2 linked regions of the Schizosaccharomyces pombe genome follow. The protein of the gene in region 2 interacts with the protein of the main gene of each other region in a pairwise test. Each region holds a gene or a part of one and is shown on either strand. Other genes may lie near its edges. The genes, in order: nap2 and rpl39.

The links.
Region 1: the proteins of rpl39 (region 2) and nap2 interact in a two-hybrid assay, tested with the Schizosaccharomyces pombe proteins (2 studies listed by BioGRID, with this or other methods).

What each region holds. Positions count from the first base shown.
Region 1 is NC_003423.3:2,983,917-2,987,842, reverse strand, and holds nap2 (nucleosome assembly protein Nap2), read left to right. Parts: upstream 1-1,943; 5' UTR 1,944-1,994; coding exon 1,995-3,134; 3' UTR 3,135-3,336; downstream 3,337-3,926. Other genes in the region: UV excision repair protein rhp23, read right to left, coding at 1-656, 698-770, 811-879.
Region 2 is NC_003421.2:1,638,814-1,642,028, reverse strand, and holds rpl39 (60S ribosomal protein L39), read right to left. Parts: upstream 1,014-3,215; 5' UTR 1,009-1,013; coding exon 853-1,008; 3' UTR 849-852; exon of another isoform or gene 787-848; 3' UTR 634-786; downstream 1-633. Other genes in the region: leptomycin transmembrane transporter Pmd1, read right to left, coding at 1,967-3,215.

The sequences.
Region 1 (3,926 bases), on a different chromosome or scaffold from region 2:
ATTTTGTTGAACAATTTGTCTTAGCTGTTGAAATTGAGGAATGCTACGAAGGAAGCCTAGAGGGTCATCACCAACGGTATTAGAAGGTTGTTCTTGATTTTCATTTTCTGATAAAGCAGCTTGTTCAAAAAGATTCGCTGGCTGGCCAGTGGAAGTAGGAGCAAGGGCTTCGCTTTGCTGTTGCTGAGCAGCAAGGGCTGCAGCACTCTCTTCTCTCTGTCGATTGAGAATGTCTTCGGGAATACCAGTTAATAAGTATTCCACTGCCCGATCAGGGTTGTTAAAAGCGGCACGCATGGCTCTTTCAACTTCGCTGCGTTCGTATCCCATTTCTACCATATTTTCGACAGCAACATTTCGTTGAGCACCAACTGCCAATGTGTTGGCGTCTATTGGTGCTTCACTAGTGGCAGTAGTATCTGGGTTTGAAGGGGCAGCAGCAGCAACAGTTTGTGTAGTAGAGGTAGATTCCGCCACGGTAGAAGAAGGAGCTTCAACTTTCTTTTCAGGTACGGAAGCCGGAGGATTGGGGGCAGGACTGGCAGCTGATTTCGGAGTAGAGGTGGAAGTTTTGGGTCGTGAAACCATGCATACAATGAAATCCTGTTCTTTTATATTGTATTCGCCAACAGTTTTGTCATCAGCAAGGATTCGACCTATAAATTAGTATTTTACATATTAAAATTATGTTATATACCTGAGTAAATTAACTTTTGACGTTCGACTTCATAATTCTGTTGCGTTTGAATTTTTTCTTTTAATTCTGAAATCTGTTTACGTTAGAAAAATAATATGCCACAATTATCATACTTTGGTATCTGCAGAAACATCAGAAATAACAAATTTCTGCTGCTGTAGATTTTTGAATGTCAAATTCATTTTCAAAGCAAATTTGGCGTAGTGGGTAAATGTATAGTAATGAAAACCTCTTTGAAAAAACGTTGCATCAGAGAATAATTGTCAAGGTAGCAAACAAACACCATACACAAGTAACATTATTTGGTATCATCGCATTGTTTATCATAAAATGTGAATGAAAAATCTAAAAAGCAAAACAGTTTGGTTTATTTGAACCTAAAATTTAATGTAAGAAAATATTTCATTTGTTTGAAAGTGTTGTGAGTGAAACATTTACCTCGTTTCCAAGTCCATTAGTACTCAATACAGTGTATTAGTTTATTCTTTATTCTTTAATTTACTATATATATATATATTTTTCTGTTGGATTATTCATTCTCATTTTCTATTTATTTACAGAACGATCGCTAATAAATTTATATATATTAATTATGATTTGTTTATTTAAGTTAGCAATGACCGTTACAATAGCAGATTTTTATTTACAAGTTTGACTTTTGAATTATGTTCCGATAGTTTTTCGCTCCTCCGTGGGCAACTAACTAGTAAACAAATGCTACAATAAGGTTGTTTAACTCATGAATATAGAAGTATATGATACGTAGAGTTGTTTATTAATCAGTATCCATATATATATATTTTTTATAGAATTTTCAACTAATAATTGGGATACGATACATATGTTAAACTAATATGAATAGCGTAGACACTTTGCTTAAACGAGATATATACATTTGTTTATTTCATTGATTTTTTTTTTAGCTATTTGGACAGCTACATCAGAATTTGAAAGCAGCGCCTTTGGTTTATACAATCCATTACCTTTGTCAGAGAAAGTATAAGGAAAGCGGAGAGAAAAAAGTCAACGTATATGTAAACTTCCGGATGCTTTCTAATTTTACATATTCTTCCAAATAAAACCCCAAATACTATCCCAAACTATGATAGCCGCTAAACACATAAATATATTTCATTAAAGACTCTCATACGAAAAATGCTGTAAACATATCATTAAAATATGCTAAGCTGCAATAACGAGTCAGGCCCAACATCTCTTTGGTAGACTTCACGAAGATCCACAGTCCAACAACGAAGCTTTACCAATTTAATTTAATCTCCGTTTGCATTATTAAAATATGTCTAAAGGTCCAGGAGATTTTAAGAAGTCTTGGAATGGGTTTGCTGCTCAAACGCCACAAAATACTCCATCTTCAGATGTACATCTTAGTAAGGCCGCATTAGAAAAAGCTAGACAAACCTTGCAATCACAACTGGAGGACAAATCAGCACATGATGAAGTTAGCGGGTTATTGCGCAACAATCCGGCCATGTTATCAATGATTGAGGGACGCCTTAGCTCGTTGGTTGGAAAGTCGTCGGGATATATAGAGAGCCTTGCGCCAGCAGTCCAAAATCGTATTACAGCATTGAAAGGCCTTCAAAAAGATTGTGATGCAATTCAATATGAATTTCGTCAAAAAATGTTAGATCTGGAAACAAAATACGAGAAAAAATATCAACCTATTTTCTCTAGAAGAGCCGAAATTATCAAGGGTGTTTCTGAACCAGTGGACGACGAATTAGATCACGAGGAAGAAATATTTCAAAATAATCTTCCAGATCCTAAGGGAATTCCCGAATTTTGGCTGACTTGTCTTCATAATGTTTTCTTGGTTGGCGAAATGATAACACCAGAAGATGAAAATGTCTTGCGATCACTCAGCGACATTCGTTTTACCAACCTTTCGGGAGATGTTCATGGTTACAAACTAGAATTCGAATTTGACTCAAATGATTACTTTACAAACAAGATTTTAACGAAAACTTATTACTATAAAGATGATTTAAGTCCTTCGGGTGAGTTTTTGTATGATCATGCTGAGGGTGATAAGATTAATTGGATCAAGCCTGAAAAAAATTTAACGGTTAGAGTGGAGACAAAAAAACAACGTAACCGTAAAACAAATCAAACTAGATTGGTCCGTACTACGGTCCCTAATGACAGTTTTTTCAACTTTTTCTCACCTCCTCAGTTGGACGATGATGAATCTGATGATGGTTTGGATGACAAAACAGAGCTTTTAGAACTCGACTATCAATTGGGAGAAGTCTTTAAAGATCAAATCATACCCTTGGCAATTGACTGTTTCTTAGAAGAAGGTGACTTGAGCGATTTTAACCAAATGGATGAAGAAGACTCTGAAGACGCATATACTGATGAGGAGGATCTGTCTTCAGATGACGAAGAAATTTTGAGTAGCGAAATTAGTGATTGATATTTATATTGTGTTCGTTAGATTATGAGTAAGTTCAATGTGAGCAAAAATGAGAAATTGACGCTGAATGATAATTTCGCTTATAGTTTGGTAAGTTTATTGTGGCTTAAAAAATTAAAATGTTGATTTACGTCGTAGTATCCTATAAAATATTTAATAAGCGGATCTAAGTTAGGATTTGTCTTTAAAATTTCAATTTGTTTTCTTGTCTTTTTAAATTTTGAATTTTTTTTTCCAATGCAGGTATAAAAAATATACTAAGTAATTTTTTATCATTCTGTGAGTATATTCTACTTACATGGTTCCTTTTTTAATAGCTAGTATTAGGTTAGTACGCGCATTATTTGAAGCTGTGGTGTTATTTATTAGCATTTGCTTTTCTAAAATGATAATGCGGACAGCCAGCAAAAAGTAAGCGGCTATTACTATAACTATCTGCAATAGCTTTTTCTATTTATTTTATACGTCAAAGCTAGATCTGTTCGTACATTAATTAACAATCTTTAAGTGCATTGTTAGCTCACACCGAGTTTATATGATAAGGTATAAGAACTAGTACTAGGTTGGAAGAACTACAACTAATAACGGTTCTGACAATAAATCACTACCTCTTGTAACTCTAAGTTTAGTTACTTCGATTGTCAAAACGTAATTATTATATGAACACAAGTAGAGATGTCTATTCATTCTCTTCACCAATCTTTCAAAAGAATTATATTGAATACCTCTAATTTGTTGCTGAGACCTAAAACAATTGCTTTTCAAACAGCAGGAACCCATCTTTTGCTACAT
Region 2 (3,215 bases):
TAGGTGGGCTTTGAACACCTTCACGCTTTATTCTCTTGTTTCTGACCCTTTGATGTTCCCATCGATTTCCTTGGACATCATTCTGCCAAATGTGTTGCCATTTCATCTTTTTCTATTCTATTTTCTATTTTTTAAGCTCAACGTCACTGGCACTGAACTTTAGCACAGCTAGCTCGTTTTTGACTAATCTATACTCAATTGAAGTTCTGCATGACTACCATTAAATTTTTGTTTTATTTTTTTTACTTCTGGTCAAGTTTTAAATTTGTAAATATTTTCCTTACACAAGTAGACTTAAGATGTGTTGAAAGCTTCTTGATACCCTATGTACTAAAAAAACCCTGTAGCGTAAAACAATGCAGGAGGACAAATCATCCTGCAGTCATTTTATTTGTTACAAAGTATTTTAATAAAATAACTTACAAACTTTGTCGAAATTGAAATGAGTATAAATTTTTCAAGCTCTTTAAATAAAAACAAAAACTCATCTATCCCGACAATTACAAGTCAAAAGTTTTTCCTACCAGGTCAGGCCGCGCCGCCACCAACTACTAGAAAATTAAAGTACACTTAAAATCGTTTTATTTACAGATCATTCAACTCTACTATATTACACGACAATCCTTACGACTTGCATGGAACTGTTTACATAGTTATTGAAGACAACAGATACATTGCGTTTATATAGAAATTTTTCGCTCAAACAGAATGGATCCATTTTCTATTTTTGCACACGTAAAACGTAGGATACGCATAAAGCAATCCATAACTTCATGTACACGAACGCTATCTCAGTTAGAAAACAGTTACTCCACAAGCAAAGGCGTCGGTTGATTTTGTCGACATACCATTTTAGATGTTCAACTTGGTACGTCTCCAGTGTCTTCTCTTCATGTTATAATGAACAGTGTTTCCGGTGCGAAGACGAATCCATTGAGGAATGGGGCGGTTTTGACGCGCAGCCTTGGCAAGCTTTTGCTTGGTACGGAAACTCTTGTGAGAAGGCATTTTGTGGAAGACAGAGTGTTGCATCCACGCAACTAAAGCGAATGTGACTGCTCTTTTTTCACAACTGTGACTGTCTTTTGAAGGTTTTTGTAGGATTTAAGGAATAATTTCAACATACTATGGTACATATTGCTAGTAACCGTTAAAACTGTTTTGTGAAATATGCCGTCAGAGCGTTATTTAAACTAGAATTGAGATACTGAAGAAATAATTAAATATATTTCAGTTAGTCCAAAAGCTTGTTGTTAGAAAAAGGCAGACGCATTCAAGAAAGTAGTGTTAGTAAGTAATATTTGGTTCAATCATATCAAAGTAAACTTGCTATTAATTTTACATTTGGGCTAGAAGCTCATATTTTAAGCATTGAGGTACAAAGAAGTTCCCAAGTCAAAAAACTTCTATTTTGTTACTACTATTTACAATTTGAAAAACTACGAAATCCGTACTTATGAGGGTCAATAAAAAAACAAAAAACGAATCCATTATTCATTATGAATCAAAGTTAATGGTAAGAGTAAAATGCCATCGTACCGATTACGATAAAATAGACAATTATTTGCACGTTAGCAAATTAAATTAATCAGTTGACCAAACAACATTAAATAGCACAGACATTAAAATTCCTTACATTGCTAGTAAGGCCATAATGCCTAAAAAGTAACCTTGTTATTCAATCCTTGAAATTGACAAGTTTTTGGAATAAAACACAAACCTGACTATGGATGAAGACATATCTAGAAGACAAACGACAAACATCCATTTTCAAAATAAGGAAATATTAAGTAATTTAATAGCATTGGTCATGCTTCATCGCATAATAGTATACATGACCTAAATAAAGGAAATTCGGAAATAACTTAACGATATATGAGGGAGTTAATCTAAACAATGGAAACCCTTTTACTGATCAGAAAGACAAAAAAAGGGCTCTTGTCGGGTATCACCCTTTTCAAATAAATTATGCTTTGTTCAATCCCTGTTCAACCACAAGTTCATAGTAACGACCGCGCTGTTTAACAAGCTCGGCATGAGTACCAGCTTCAGCGATAACACCACCATCAAATACGAAAATACAGTCTGCATCTTGGATAGAAGACAAACGATGAGCAATTGCTACCGTGGTTCTACCTTGAGAGGCGGCATTTAAAGCTTCTTGAACGACCTTTTCGCTATGACTGTCTAAAGCACTGGTTGCTTCATCTAAAAGGAGAATCTTTGGATTTCTAATTAATGCTCTAGCAATGGCAATACGCTGTTTTTGACCACCAGATAAGGAAGAGCCCTTTTGACCGCAAAGTGTGTTATAACCGTTGGGCAATCCAAGAATAAACTCATGAATATTGGCCTTCTTGCAAGCTTCAATCATCTCTTCTTCAGAGACATCTTTAGATGCGCCCAAAACAATGTTCTCACGAACAGTACCTTGGTACAACGTTGGCTCTTGAGAGACAAGGGCAATTTGTTTGCGGTAGTCGTTAATGTTATAGTCACGAACATTAACACCGTCCACCAATACAGCTCCATTGTCGCAATCGTAGAAACGCTCGATAAGCCCAATGGTCGTAGATTTACCACAGCCAGAAGATCCTACGAATGCGACAAACTGCCCGGGCTTCACAGTGAGGTTCAAACCACGAAGAACTTTAATATGCCTTCTGGTAGGGTAACTAAATTCAACTTGCCTGAATTCAATTGCTGCACTTTGAAGGGATTCAACTTTCTTTCCTTCCGTCGACCATGTATCAATTTTAGGTTTTGATTCGGACAAATACTTAATTTCACCGGCAGCAGCCTTTGCTTTTGTTACATCTGCTGAGTAACCAAAGAATTGACCAGCTTGTTGTATACCAAAGACAATTGCAATAAAACAAGTATAAAACTGAACGATGTTATATTCGCCCTTGCGCATTAAGGTAGAACCATACCAAAATGTCAATGCGTTAATCAAAAAGGTAACACCTTGAGCAGCAGAAAAGAATAAACCAGATTTCAATGATGCGATTGCCGACTCACGGCCAGGTTTGATGAGAGAATCACAATACTCAGCAAAAACGTTTTCTTCGCGATTAAGACTAGCGACTGTACGAATGGCTGAAGTTGACTCGCATGCGAACGCAGCTGACTCTTTGTAGGCAGCAGACAACTTCTCTTGGACTTGATCAAGAGCACGTACACGGTAATAACCAGCAGTAATGATAACAGGGGAG